2 linked regions of the Notamacropus eugenii genome follow. Each later gene encodes a partner of the first gene's protein in a complex. Links are inferred from orthologs where the notes say so. Each region holds a gene or a part of one and is shown in the gene's direction. Other genes may lie near its edges.

What was found.
Region 2: RAN (region 1) and XPO5 share a complex: the UniProt entries of both Homo sapiens proteins name them as parts of the nuclear export receptor complex. The link is inferred for Notamacropus eugenii from reciprocal best matches to the Homo sapiens genes RAN and XPO5.

The regions. Positions count from the first base shown.
Region 1 is NC_092875.1:46,255,172-46,263,138, forward strand, and holds the start of RAN (GTP-binding nuclear protein Ran), read left to right. Parts: upstream 1-4,902; 5' UTR 4,903-4,979; intron 4,980-5,120; exon of another isoform or gene 5,121-5,886; intron 5,887-5,904; exon of another isoform or gene 5,905-6,070; intron 6,071-6,569; 5' UTR 6,570-6,579; coding exon 6,580-6,615; intron 6,616-7,073; coding exon 7,074-7,158; intron 7,159-7,242; coding exon 7,243-7,368; intron 7,369-7,967. UniProt on the Homo sapiens protein: GTPase involved in nucleocytoplasmic transport, participating both to the import and the export from the nucleus of proteins and RNAs. Switches between a cytoplasmic GDP- and a nuclear GTP-bound state by nucleotide exchange and GTP hydrolysis.
Region 2 is NC_092873.1:106,525,627-106,533,062, reverse strand, and holds the start of XPO5 (exportin-5), read left to right. Parts: upstream 1-4,408; 5' UTR 4,409-4,605; coding exon 4,606-4,710; intron 4,711-5,761; coding exon 5,762-5,883; intron 5,884-6,907; coding exon 6,908-6,980; intron 6,981-7,436. Other genes in the region: POLH (DNA polymerase eta), read right to left, coding at 594-690, 2,412-2,433. UniProt on the Homo sapiens protein: Mediates the nuclear export of proteins bearing a double-stranded RNA binding domain (dsRBD) and double-stranded RNAs (cargos). XPO5 in the nucleus binds cooperatively to the RNA and to the GTPase Ran in its active GTP-bound form.

The DNA.
Region 1 (7,967 bases):
ACCTGAAAAAAAAAAATCCCTTTTAGATAAAATGGACTATGTTTTTAAAACCTGTATAAACAAAATGAATATAATTACAATTAGAAAGGAAACAACTAAATGGGCAAAAATCTTAGCGGCAAGTTTCTCTAATAAAGATTTTATATTCAAAATATTTAAGGATCTGATTTAAAAATCTATGTATATACAAGAACTATTCCCCAACAGGTATTAGGATAAAAACAGGCAGTTCCCAAAGGAAGAAATCCAAGCAATCAACAACCATAATAAAAAAAAAAACAACCCTTCAAAATCACTCATAATAAAAGAAATACAAATGAAAACAGTTCTGAAGTTCTATCTCACATCCATCAAATTTTAAAAAAGATTGAAAAGATGATAGACTTAAAAAGACAAAAAAAAAAAAAGAAAATGGCAGATTTTGGAGGAGATGTAGAAAAACATGCTGAATCATCTGTTGTTGGTATAGCTGCAAATTGTTCAGCCATTCTGGAAAACAATTTAGCACTATCCCTATAAAGTTACTAAACCATTTTTTTACTCTTTGACTTATGATATCACTATTGGCCTATATTCCAAAAATGTCAAAGGAAGTAAGAAAAGACCCATATATTAAAAGAAATACTAATAGTAGCTTGATTTGTTCTAGTGAAGAACGGAAACTGAAGGAATGCCATCCACTGTATAATGGCTCAATAAATAATGGTATTTGAATGTAATAGAATGTTATTCTGTCATAAGAGGTAATGAAATGAAAGGTTTCAGAGAAACTTGAGAAAAAAAAAACCACAAACTTGTATAAATGGATTCAGAGTGAAGTGAGTAGAACCTAAAGAACAATTTGCTCAATGACCACAACAATGTAAAGTAGAACACACCTTCAGGGATCACTAACCCAACTTCCACGTAAGCAGGCTGGAAACCCAGAGGACAGTTGATTATCTTTCATTCCATGGTTCTAGGGGTAATTCTGAGGTATTAGGGATTTTTCTAGTACTATTTCTCTTGAGCCCCCATCAGTGTACTCCCCATTGCTTAACCAGTTAGTATCAATTAGCAAGTCAGAGTTAATTAACTTTTTAGTTAGGGGTACTATATTTACTAAAGCTGTATAGTAATAATAATTGGCCAAAAACCCCAAAACATTCCCCCCAAAAGACTGGGATATATTCACCCACAACTATATATAGCATCTAGGGGAAATTAGGTTAAACTTTAGAAAATATATATGGCAAAGGGGTAATTCACAGTTCCTTGATAGATGGAAGTCCTTTCTTTCCCTTCCTGGAGTCCTTCTGCAGTTCACTTGAGGTGTGCTCTGAACTCTGAGGGTTGGGGTCCTTTTAGAGTCCATTCGTAGCAGGGCTTCATGTCTGAGCCTGTTGTGTTTGTCTCAGCTCAGGGACCATTAGTTACAGAAGTGAGTGCAAAGGATTGTTGTTATGCTAAGTTCAGAGTACAACTTGCTTGCTGGGCTTTAGCTCTGCAGAACGTGACATCTCCTTATATCTTGATATAAGGAAATTTTTTTCTGATATCAAACCTAAACATCATTCTTGACTTCTCCAGGATCTACTTCTGACTCTTCTGACATCCTCAACCATGCCATGGTAGCCTTCTCACCCTAGAAATTCTCTCTGCCTCTTCTTCTGATTGGTCAACTCCTCCCCAATCCTCTATTTTAAGGAGAGTGCCCAGGCCAGTCAGGTTGTCCTTCTTTTCTGGGCTCCACCCTTGACTCTCTGGACTTTCTCCATCATGCCTAGACCCTGGTACCTTCTCAGCTTCTTTCTATACATTGTTATTGCCTTCCTTCAGGGCAGGAACTATCTTTCCTAATGCTGGTATTTGTATTTCCTGCACTAAGCATAGTATATGTTTGTTTAAAGCCAATTCTTTCTTATATAGTGGATTGAACTACAATAGGTCCCTGTCCAATCTCCACTTAATGACTGTTTTTTGGACCCTCCTGGGTGAGAGGGTCCTCCTAGAGTGAGTCTCAGTGGTAAGTGTTGCTCTTTGGAACAGCAACCCTGAGGGCCTTACCCTCCCAGCTTGACTTTTTTTTATTTTTCTAATTAAAGGGGCCTTCCCTTGACTACTTAAAGAAGCCTATTCACTGAATGGGCATTACCTCACTCTAAGGGAGTACCAAAAAAAGCCTTAGCCTAAAAGGGCAAGCCAGGGTCTCCCTTTGCATCCTGGGCCATCTCCAGTCATCCTGATGAATATCAGGTCACTGGATCCAGATGGCTTATGGGGAGAAAGTGTGACCTTGCACAGCCCTCCTGCACTCAAGTCAAAGTCAACTACAAGTCATGTCATCATTTTCCTGATGTCATGGTCCTCTTTGAAAATGAAGGACAAGTACAGCAACAACTAAGCATAGTGCCTAGGACATAGTAGGAGTTTAATAAATGTTTGTTGATTTCAGTTTGCAACTTTTACCCAATGCTTTTAGTTCTACCTTCTAGGCATGCAGAACCCCGTCTTCCCTGTGTCAGCCCTTCAGATATTTGAAGACAGATACCATGTCTCCTCAGGATTCTCTTATTTAAGCTAAACATACATGCTTGTACAAATAATATTCTCCAGTCCAGATTTTAATTTAGCTTCATGTCCAAAGCATTTGTATTTCCTTGTTACCTCTCAGAATTTCTGGCTTCTTTCAAGGCTCAATTTGTGTCATTTCCTAGAGGAAATCTTCCCTGATGCCCCTGATCATTAGTGTTCTATCAATCTCAAAAAAATCATGTGTGTATATACTTAATAAGTCCCCACTCTGCCTCTTGTAAATTCCTTGAGGGAAATGGATTGGGTTTTGTTTTCTCTTTTTAATCCCACCATTTAGCATGATATTTTAGACATAATGGACACTTAAAAATATTTCTTGGAGTAGACTGGATTGTTGGATTTGCCCATGGAGGAGGGGCAGCACCCTCTCCCAGAATTTCTATCTATGGCTATCTGGCCATTGAACAAGTTCAAAATAGAATGACTACTTGTTGGGAATGTTGTTTCTCTGGTCAATTACAAGTTCCTCTACCAGTGTATTCCAGATTCTCTAGACTTTTTACTGTGCATCAGCCACCTTCTCAGCCTTGAAGTTTCACTAGAGTCAGTGGCTTCCTCACTCTGGAACATCCCTTTGTGCTAAGACCCTCTTTTCTCATTGGGGAGTTCCTTTTGAAACCTCCGTTTTGGGAAAGTGTCCAGGCCAGTCATCCTTCCAGCCTCTCCCAGCTCTACTGGCTCTCCAGACTTTACCACCATTCCTTTAACTCCCAAAACTTTTGTCTTGCCACTGGACTTTGGTGACTCTAGAAGAGAGTGCTAATGCTGCAACTTCAGTTCTCAGATTCAATTCACACACAAGTGAAGACATCACCCTGTGATATTAGTCCTCTTGCAAAACAAGGACAAGCAACAACCACCATCTCCCTGAGCATATACTTTATCCCTCCCCCTCCTTTTTAGGCTGATTTTATTTTTTATCTTCCCCCACTATAATGTGAGTTCTCTGAGAGTAGGAACCTTCAGCTTCACTTTATATGCCTAGCACTAACAGGGTCCCGCACATATTAAGGACATAATAAAAGGTGCTTGATTGACTGATTTGTTTTGACAAGATGTCTTGAAGGTTCCATGAGAGGAAGACTGGTATGATAACAGCTAATATTTATATAATGCCTTCAGGCTTGCAAAGTGTTTTACATGTATTTTACATTTGAGCCTTACCACAACCTTGTGTTTATAATCTTATATCCAATTTGTAAATAAGGAAATTGAGACTCAGAGAATGACAGTGGAAAGAATTGGACCATTCATCCATCATGAATTCAAATCTCAATTTGATACTTTTTCTTATCTGTAAAAGTGATAATATTTAGGCTATTTTACAGGGTTGTTCAGCGAAAAGTGTTTTGTAAACCTTAGTGTTATATAAATGGAAATCATTATTGTATAGAATGTGACCTCTTTGTGGTCAGCAACTGTCAGTTTTTAGTTTTGTATGTCCAGGACTTAGCACAGTATCTTACAAAGAGTCCAGGCAGCTAGGTGGCACAGTAGATAGAGGACTTGAGCCCTTTCTGAGTCAGGAGGACCTGAGTTCAAATATGACCTCAGACACTTAGTAGCTGTGAGACCCTAGCCAAGTCACTTAACCCTCATTGCCTCAAAAAAAGAGATTTTTTAAAAAAAACCTGCTCTGTGCCAAGCGTCTCATCCGATCCTCACAACAAGCCTTGGAGGAGTCTGAGGCAGACAGAGACAGGTTAAGGGGCTGGCCCAGAGTCACACAGCCCGGTGTTTGAAGCCACACTTGAACGCAGCTCTGGGTCCCCAGGATCCACCCTCTGCACCCCTAGCTGCCTGGATTTCTTCCAGCGCTAGGGCTGACCCTCATGGCTGGAGGGGCAGAGGATTCACCCATCCAGACCCTCTCCCTCCCCGTCAGACCCTTTACGCAGCCCCGAACGTGCCCGTGTCCAGCATGGTTAGGATGGGAGTCACTGCAGCTGGACCTGGGCTGGCTGGGTGGCTCAGCCCCGGATGAGCGCATCAGCATTCATCTCCAGCACGTGCACCCTCCCCGCTCTCCATCTACCGGGGGTGAGCCATCCCGGGGCCCAAGCCGGACTGGGCGAAGCTCCTTGGGGGAAGGCGGCTTGGCTCCTCGGAGGACTGCCGAGCCTTTAAATCCCTTGGAGGAGAACCAGCGAGGGTCATCGAGGCGGGCGTGGGGGGCAGCGGGAAGGAGGCCGGGCGAGCCTCCCTGACTCAGTTTCCCCTTCCGTGACGCGAGGGCGCCGTGCCCTCCACACAGGCCGCGCTCCATCAAGGCTTGGGCACGACCTCGCTGTTAGCGAAGGCCGAACCAGAGGGTGCGGATGTTGTCAGCAATAACACCGCGGCGCGTAGGGGGCGCTCTGCGAAGCGCTTCGCCCCGTCTGACGCCCACGGTTAGCTTTATTCTGGTTAGTGCTTTGCGTCTCGGCTTTTGCGGTTTCCTGGAAGGTTCAAGCTCGGACCCTAAAGCCCGGCAGACATCGGGCCTGACGCAGGAGAGGCCCTCGCGTCTCCCGTTGGCGGGAGCCCACCTCCCTCCAGAGGCGGTTGGGGCGCGCGCTCCCAGCAGGTCCTTTGGGGCGCATGCGCACGAGCCGGCTGCGCGCCGAGGCGGGGGCGAGAGCGCGGTGAAAGGTAGGTGGGGCCGGGAAAGAAGGAACTAGAGCTCGAGCGCGCTCCCGCGGCTGCCTCAGCAGGGCCTGGGGGGGCCGCGTGCGCATGCGCACACGCCAACCGGGAGCCGAGGTGGGACCGAGGCCAAGCGCCAGAGCGCGGTAAAGGTAAGGTAAGACGGCATGGATAAATCTCTCCACCGCGGTCTCGCGGTCTCGCGGCATGGATAAATCTCTGCCAGGCTTTTGAGAAGCGCATGCGCAGGGGGGGGAAAGCATGAAGGCGAGAGCGCGGTAAAAGCTTAGCTGGGCGGGGGTAGAAGGGATTAGAGGAGTGGGGAGCGTTCTCGTTTGAGGTGGCGCATGCGCCATAGTCCGCCGCAGCGCTCCCGATTGCATTGTAAAGCCCAAACGTCGGCGCGCCCCCGGTCTGTCAGTCCGTTTCTCTCTTCCCGCCCCCGTCCCCTAGGCCCCGCCCTCTCTCCCTTTTTTGGGGACAGCCGGTAACGTAACGTCGACTTGGGCGCGCGGCGCCCGGAGCACGTGGGGGCACGTTGCGCCGTTGCCCCGCCCCCCTCCGCTCCCCTCGGCCCCTCCCTATTCCGCGCGCGCGGCGGCGTCGGCTGCGTCTCCGGGTATTTGAATCGCGCTTCCGCCATCTTTCCATCGTTCAGTCAGGCGGAGACGGAGACGCTTCTGGAAGGTAGCGGCGGAGTGGGGCGCGGGGGGTTGGCCCGGGCTGGGGAAGGGGGGCCGGGCGGGCGGGTGTTGGACAGGAAGGCATCGAGGACCGACGCTGAGAAGGAGGCGGCGGGCCGGGCTCCCCGTCTCTCCTCCTAGGGGGGTGGGCGGCCGCGGCGGACCGGGCCGGGCTTGGCGCGCTTTGTGTGAGGAGGCCCCGGCCGCCAGGCCGTGCGGAGGCCGCGGATCGTGAGGCAGCCGGGGAAGGGGCGGGAGAGGCTGCGAATGCGGTGCGGGTGCGGTGGGGGGGGCGGCCTAGCCTTCCCTCCCCGCTCCTCCAGCCACTCCCGCCCCTCCCGCCGCGGGCCCCATGACCAGGCGGTTTTCCCGGGCCCGGTCCGGCCTCCACCGCCCCTTTTTGGCGTCTCCTGGAGACGCCCTTCGGGCCCTGACGGTTGAATGAACCCGAGGCTCGGGGGAAAAAAAAGGGCCGCCGCCATTAGCGCCTCATTCATCCCCCTCCTCCTCGCCGTCGGCGCCCCACGCGGGCGGGGGGAGGAGCCGCGGCCTGGGCCGGGGATGAATGGGCCGAGCAGGGGCGCGGAGGGGGCGCTTTGTGGGGCCGCGGGGCACGTGGCGGGGAGGGGGAGCCCGAGCATGCGGCCTCGGGTCCGAGGGCCTGACGCGCTTGTGTCTCTCCCCCAGAACCATCGCGATGGCCGCCCAAGGAGAACCCCAAGTGCAGTTCAAAGTACGTAACTCCTGGGGGGGGCCGAGATCGCCGAGGTGGGGGCTGGGGCGGCTCTTGAGGACACAGGAAAGACCGTTGGATCCCAAGGCCTTGTGATGAGAAGCAGAGTTTGCACGCCCGTATCCCAGCTTACATAACAGGCCTTGAAATAATCTTTATAAATTGATTACCTCCTAAACTGTAGTAAGGCTTTTTCATCCAACAAGGAACTAGTTAGTATTTGCCAAATGAATGTTCCAAAAAAGTATTTAGATGATTTAGTTGATACATAAAACAGTTAAATGTAACCTGAAAACGGTCTGATACTTGATTACTTAAACTGTGGTAGCTCTCTGAATCCACCATAGTATGTGGAAATGGATGTTAAGACATTTAGATGGTATTGTTTGATACATGGAATGGAGAATGTTTGTGTGTGTTTTTGAGAAGTCCACCTAAAATATTTTATTTTTCAACAGCTTGTATTAGTTGGAGATGGAGGTACTGGAAAAACCACATTTGTGAAACGTCACTTGACTGGTGAATTTGAGAAGAAATATGTAGGTATGTATCTTTTTTACAAGTTAGTTGCACCAATTTCAATAAAATAAAATCAGTGAACTAAGTCAAAACCTTTTGCTGTTCCAGCCACCCTGGGTGTTGAGGTCCATCCTCTCGTGTTCCATACTAACAGAGGTCCTATTAAATTCAACGTATGGGATACAGCTGGCCAAGAGAAATTTGGTGGTCTGAGAGATGGTTATTACATCCAAGGTATGTATACAACTGTTTTGCATGTTGTTATATCAGCTGTATGTTGCCAGAAGTTTTTTTCAGATATGTGTATGTATAAACATTTTTACAAGTGACTTCTGGTCTTTGGGGAGCTCCTGTGTTTAATAGAGGACTGAGATTTGAATCTCAGCTGGTCTGCTTGGATATACCAAATCCAAGATGTTTGATGATAGGTAAAATGAAAAGGGTTCAGCTGAAGTTCCTTTCCTTAAGATCTAAAATGGCTATGACCTTATTAAAACAGCAGAAAGGAACCTCCATATATTTTGTCTGAGGTATTAAAGTTGTAGCATAATATTTCATTGGTTAGTCATGTAACATTTAACCAAGTTGTTTCTAATAGGTAAACTTTTATATTTGAATTTTTGAAAGGTACCATGTCAGTGTGCATAGTTGTAAAAATCTTTACACTTTGAAAATAAACTAAATATATAACAGTAAGTGTTGGAGCAAAAATTATAGGACTTAGAACTTGAAATTGGATTTCTCTCAAGCTTACACTGAAGTCTAGAGTGTTTAAGCCCATTGTCCCTGGGACTCCAAAAAATTAAGTCTTGCCTCTGGAGCTTGAAAAAATT
Region 2 (7,436 bases), on another chromosome or scaffold:
ACTCTGTGATTCTATGTATGTCCTTATCTGAAGCAGCTAGTTGGTGCAGTAGATAGAATGCTGGGCCTAAAGTCAGAAAACCAATCTAGAGTTCCAATCTAGCTACAAACATTTCCTAGCTGTATGGGCCTGGGCAAGTAACTTGATCTGTTTGTCTTAGTTTACTCAACTGCAAAATAAGGATAATAACAGAACCTACCTCCCAATGTTACTGAGGGGATAAAATGAGATAATAATTGTAACAGCACCTAGCTAAACAGTGGGCACTTAATAAATGCTTGTTTTCTTCCTTCTTTATCCCACTACTAGACTTTTAGCCCCATCAAGTCAAAAAGAATATCTTACATAAACTGTATTTCCTTAGAGTCTAACACAGTCCTGTGCACATGGTATGGGCTTAAATAAATATTTCCTGCATTGAATAGAGTATGTCAAACATAACCCTTTTCAGGTAATTTGTGTGATGTTGAGAACTAATGAACTAATAAAGCTCAGAAAATTTAAGGCACAAAAACAGATAACTACAATCTAAAATATTACAAGTATATTACAAAAAGTGTAAAAGCATTAGGCATAAAGAGGAAGATCTTTACCTTCTATGGGCATCAGGGAAATCTTCACATAAGAGGTAGCATATGATTTCAGTTTTAAAAGATGGAAACAAGGTGAAGAACAGAACAGTTTTCTCATCTGTAAAATGAAAGGATTGAATTAGATGATCTTTAAATCTTACTCTAAAAATTCTCAGTGCCGAAAGCTAACAATGTAACGTCAAGTTTGATAATGCTTATTCAAAAATTCAATTTATCAGAAGCATTGGTAAAAACTACACTATAAGGACCTAGTCTGTGGTTACACAAATTTTTTTAAAGTTGTAGGAGAAATTAGATGAAACTGTTGATTAACTTTGGCTTTCAGTTTCATCTGTGAAATTCAATTTTATCTCCTTTCTACTAAGGCTAAGCAAGAGCAAAATAGATAAAGAAGAAACTAAGTTTTGATATAATAGCCATTCTTTTAAGAACAGCTAATGTCCACCTGCAGGAAAAAATTGTTTATTAGTTTGGAGGAATTATTAAGAATACCATGTGAGAGAAATATGTTTTGGAAGGTTTCCACTTAACCCTAAGAGGAATTTCTTCCTACCTTCCTATAATGAGGCAATTTGAAGGTTCTTGATAATCATAAAACCTGGGCTAGAATGGGCTAAAAGTAACCCACATTTGAAAATTCTTTTTTTCACTTAGTTTCATCAAATTCTAGTTAACTAGTCTGTAGCATGACATAACACAAAGACTCTTTCTTGGATTATTTAAACTACCACTTTTTAATACTGCACAAAATAGCCAGTTAAAAGATTAACTCACAATTCTACTAGACAGAGTATGAATGACTTTATTCAGTTTATGTATTTTGCTACAGAAACCAGCGTACTTTTTAAGTTTTAAAGCAACCTGAAATCACTAAGGATAATTCAGTATGGTTACTATATATAATTCAATAAAATATTTTAGAGGGATCAAAATTGTGTTGTTCAGTTGTTTCTGACTCTTCATGAGCCCATTTGGGGTTTTCGTGGCAAAGATACTGGAGTGGTTTGCAATTTCTTTCTCCAACTCATTTTATGGATGAAGAAACTGAGGCCAACAGGGTTAAATAAAGTACTCAGGGTCACACAGCTAGTATCTGGGGCTGGATTTGAACTCACAAATATGGTTCTTCCTGATCCCAAGCCCAGTGCTCTCTTTATCTACTATGCCAATTCAACAAACATTTATTAAGGGCCTACTATGTGCATGAAGTTGTGCTAGACAGTAGGAATACAAAGAAAGATGAAACAATTTTTGTCCTCAAGGAGTTTACATTCTCTTATGAGACAACAAAAATGTACATAGAAAGGTCAATATAAAATAAATACAAAATAGCCACAGTGAGGTAGGAAGAATACTAACATATAGAGGGGGAGAGATAAGTAAAGGATTAATTTCAGGAGAAATCTCTTGGTGCTGTGCCTTGAAGCAGTCTACAGATCCTAAGAGGCACAAGTAAAGAGGCAGTAAATTTAGGACATGAGATATTTGACTATGAAAATGTCAAGTTTGGAGAAAACAAGTTGGCCAATTTGGCTAGAAGAAAAATGCATGACAAGGGGTCATGTGCAACTGTCTGGAAAAATAGGTTGGTTAGGGTTAGGTGGTGGTGGGTTTCAAATGCCAAACAGGAAAATTTGTATTTTATCCCGGGAATTTGGCAACTGACTGGACACAAGGGGTGAGGGAGAATGAAGGAGTGCTGATGACTCTGAAGTTGCAAACCAAGTTGTCTGGAAGGATGAGGAGGGCCCTTTACAGAAACAGGGAAGATGGGAAGGGGAGAGAGTAAGGGTAGGAAGATAATGAATTCTGACTCACTAACACATGAATTCTTTATCATCCATCAGAACAGCCGAAAGCTTCTAGGAGAGAATAATTGAGCTTGGGTCCGGGGAGAGAACTTGATCTTTTGCATGATTGTACATGTATAACCTATATATAACTTCCCATCTCAGAGAGATGAGGGGGAGGGAAGGAAGGGAGAGAATTTGAAACTCAAAAACGTTTTTTAAATGTATGTTAAAAATTGTTTTTACAAGTAACTGGAAAAAATACAATATTCCCAGATAGGACTTGGGTGAACCCAAGACCAACACAGAAAAGAGCAATGAGATGGTATTTCTAGAGAGGAAACCTAAATCACTTACACATTTTTATTTGACCTCTTTATTGAGGACAAAGGAAACGGAAAACCAAAAAAGTATAATTCATTAGGTAGTAAGGTTAGTGATATTTATCATTGTTATTAATCTGGAAGTTGGAGTGAACAATGCACAAGTATATTTCAGAGTGCTTAGGAAGTACTAAGTTGAAAACCACAGGAAACATAAATGAGCAGAGAGGAAGGAGTATAGATGTAAATAGGAGACAGAGGTTGACAGTTGAGCACCCAACCATATTTTAAGCATCCAACCATATTCTAGAACAGAAAACAGGATTCAACTGGTAAAAGTTATAGTATGTCTCAATGCTATTAATTTGGAAATGTGCAAAAAAAGATTAAGAAAATAATATCTCTTTATTATTTGAGATATCTGACTGAAAGAAGGAAATCAATTTTAGTTCACTGAACAATAATAGCTAAAGAAGGATGTAATATATCCGCAGTTTAAGTTCTCATGTAACAGAGATAACTCAGCCTTGGAAAGTGGATCATGGTAGCAACTTTATGAAACTACGAAGACGAAAAAGAATCAGACTGCCAGTGGGGAAAAAAAGGCACTTAAAATAACAGGAAAGATTAGAGGAACAAGTGATCGAATGGGGGTTGGGGATATAAGACATAAATATCAGCGAATACAATATGTAAATGAGATTGCACAGAACACAAAAACAGACACTGGAGGAAGTTTCTTTCCAGTCGGTGCTGACCCTGATAACGATGATCACTATTACATCGTCTGGTTTAAAATACCTGTTTTTATTCTCTTTTAGGATGGGCTCTCCCTTAAACTAACCCTTCCTAGCCGCACTGGGCCACCCCTAAATGCTCCCATCTCTTCGCGGGGATCCTTTCAGATGATACGACATCCCAGTAAGTACCGTAAGGGCAGTTTTCGGAGTCCCTAGTCTGGCACCCCGGCTTGGACAGCTAAGATACTGCCCCCAAGACGACCCAATCAGATCCAACCGCGATTCTGTCAGACTTCCAGGCTCCAGTTCTGCAGCACAGGATGGCCAAGACTCGGCGGCAGGACGAGCCCGGCTCCCGGCCCCGGGACCGGCCGGTGTCACCGAAAGCGGCGTCCCGTCAAGCCGAGAACCAAGGCAGCTCCTGCGGAAGGGGGCCCACAATTCTCCTACCAAGGCCAGGGATCCACCTGCGCGCGCCGCCGGCCGGGGTCCGCCGTGCTCGGCGTCCGTCTGACAGGAGACGCGCCGCCTGCCGAAGGGGAGGAAGGCGGGCCGGGCCTGGCGAAGAAGGCGATCGCCCCTCCTCCACGCCCGCTGTCAGACACCCGGCTAAGATGTCCCCATCTCGTCCGACTCGACCGCCGCGCCAAGCAGCAGCTCAAACCCAGACTAGACCAGGACTGGCCTTTGGTCGCCGGAAACCGTTGAAACGCCTGCGCACTTAGACCTTCAGGTTTCGCGCTTCGTGCACGCTAAACTCCACCCCATCACCCCCGCCCCGTGGTGGCCAAAGGCCCGCCCCCTCTACCCTCCCCTGGAGGGGGCGCTTGCGCAGTGGCTGGACCCGAGTGCGCGCGCCGTGGAGGGGCGGCGGCGCGTGCGCAGGGTGGTTGCCTCCCTCCTCCCCTTTTCCTTGGCTCCTCCTCCCTCTCCTCCTCTTCCTCCTCCTCCTCTTCCTCCTCCTCTTTTTCCCCCCTCCCCACTCGGAGCGGTTGGTGCTCGCTCCGTAGCTCTGCTGCCCTCCGCTCCTGGTCTTCCCCGGGCGCTGTTGCGCGGTGCGGCCCCGGTGTGGGAGCGCTTGCGGCCCTGGTTGCGGGTATAGCGGAGAGCTGCCTCGTGCTCCGGGGGTGGGCGCGCGCCGCACGGGGGGATTCTCGCCATGTCGACGGATGAAGTGAACGGTCTGTGCGAGCAGCTGGTGAGGGCGGTGACGGTCATGATGGACCCGAGCTCCACCCAGCGTTACCGCCTCGAGGCCCTCAAGGTAACCTGCAAAGCGGAGTTCGGGGGGCGTCTGGCACCGCCGAGGAGTCCACGCGCTGCGGACGCCGGGCCCGCGGCTCCGCTCCGGCCTGGGGCCCACGAGGCCTGCGAACCCCTCCCCCGTGCTCCCTGGCGCCCCTCTGATGCAGCTCCTCCACATCCCCTCCCCCGGCCCGGCTCACCCCGCCGCACCCAGGCCCCTTCCCACCGCCATGCCATTTCCCGGGCCCTGGCTGCCGGCTACTCCCCCACGCCCCATCCTCGCCTGCCCATCCCCCCTTCTCTTCCAGCAGTCGGGCACAATAGTGCCTGCAGCCCTCGCTGCCTTCCCCGGGCAGTCTGCGTGCCTTCTTCCTTTCCCCCGTTCACCCCGCTCTGTGATCTCTCCTCACCCTGCTCTGCTACCTGTGAACGTGCGGCCCGGTCCCGTGCCCTGCCCGGACTTCTTCCTGGCTGGCATTCCTTTGGTGTGGTTTATAAGCATCTCCCTCCCTTCATCTCTGCCCATTCTCAGTCACCAGTCACCGCCCCCCCACACTCTAGAACTCTAGGATTTGAGCTCGTGGTGTCCAGGCTCCGTTGCATGGAGCTGAACGTCAAGTTTTGCATTTTCCTTTCAACGGTGGCGGTGTCCTTGAGGAAATGGTCTTCTGGGGTTTGTGGGGGAAGGAGGGTCGTGGCCGTGCGCGTTGGTGAAGCTGGGGAGGGGGCAGAATCACACTCCCGTGTTAAACAGGAGTTGTACAGGTAATGACTGATTTGCTCCACCCCACCCCGAAAAGAAAGCTTCATAACTTTATGAATGTTCATCTTGTGCACAAGGAGCGGAATCGGAATAACTAGATCTCTTCATCGGGCTGAAGTATTGTTTCATTTTAATCTGTTTGGCTGGGGTGACAAATCAAAAAAGTAAAGATAATGAATGAAGAATATTTTTGTTTCTTTGTTCATACCTCGATATGTGTTTCCTTGCTGACAATACCAAATAATCCTCTTCATATTTTTTATTCCTCAGCTGCTAGTAAAAGCATTATCTATTTTCTTTTCCTCAGTTTTGTGAAGAGTTTAAAGAAAAGTGCCCCATTTGTGTCCCTTGTGGCCTGAAGTTGGCTGAGAAAACACAAACTCCAATAGTTAGACACTTTGGCCTTCAGATCCTGGAGCATGTTGTCAAGTAAGAGACTCTTATGTACCTGAGATCATTTTAGCCTCATATAGCCTGTAGTTTTCCCACTGAACCTTCTGAATATTAAGGATTGTTTTTCTTTTTCTGGTGACTTTTGACATATGCGTACATAGTCTTCCTATTACTAGACAAAATCCTATCCAAGGAAGTTTCCCGGTATTGGACTTGAAATCAGCAGAAATTGAGCTAGAATTCTGCCTCAGGTGCTTGCTAACTGAGTGAGCATAGGCACTCAATCTCTCTTGCCTTGTTTTTTTCCCTGTAAAGTGAAATTAATGCCTGTAGTATAAATTCTACCTTACTGAGTTGTTGGTAGGATCTGGGGGCATGATGTGAGGCAAGCATTTTGTAAACATTCAGAATCTAATGTGGTCTTTCTGGTTCTACGTTTCTGTACCTCATGACCTTTCTGAGAACCTTGCTCAGTTCTGAGTACATGAACAGTTCATGTATGATGACTAGTGTAGCATTATCCAGAAATATCAAAAGCTCCCACATGCCAGCTTCCTAATTTTGGTCATCTGTACTCTCTAGGCCAACTACCATTGCAACAGTTGGTGTTTATACACTAAACTAGATTTACACCAGAATTGTAAATATCACCTTAATATCCAAGAAAGTTATACTACCTAGTCAGATAGCATCAAGGTCCTCTTATTGTCTTAGCAGTTATCAGGGGTATATATTTATTTTACTTCATCAAAATGAAAGGACAATAAATAGATGTTTCTGTGTATGTGGTTTTCCACTATTAGCTTTTGTGCACATTAAAATCTATTCTCAGAGTCATGTTGGTATTGGGATTGTACACCCTACTCTGGAGTCTCTCAAGTCTAATCTTCAGAATGAAAGTATTTGTATACATGTAGAATCAAAAGTACATTTATCAGTAGATTCTTTGATGGATGTGACAGCATAATTGAGGTCGGGGAACAGTTCTGTTTCTCACTTTATAAAATGTTCCATGTCTTCTCAGTGTATATCTATTGCATTTCTCCATTTTGCTGGCCAGGTTTCGGTGGAACAACATGTCTCGCCTGGAGAAGGTGTTTCTAAAGAACAATGTCATGGGGCTGATATCAAGTGTAAGTAATAAGTAGTTGGAGAACTTCTGCTAAGGGTAGATTAAAATGAGGTGCTGCTCTTTTAATAATGATTTGGGGAGTATGGTGTGAACTTTTTGTGTAATAACCAGTTTGACAGAAATCAGATAACATTGTAGAAATTTTACAATGCCATTGATGGGGGTGAAGGTTGGGGGCAGGGGGGCAGGAATGACACAGACCAATGGTGTTTCTATTCCAAAAAGGAAGAAGGTCCCCCCTATGGTTTATATGGTAGTGAAATAATGATTTTAAGTGGTGGTCCCTATAAAAACTGTATTTTTTTCTTGAATGTGTGAAACATTCTATTTCTTAAGCTGAATTCAAAAAGTGCTTAATAAATTTCATTCAGAGGGCTACCTGCATAAATGTTTCAAGCAAATTTAAGGATTTTATCATTGCTTCATTTAATATTAACTTCTTTAAGTGGTCAATTCT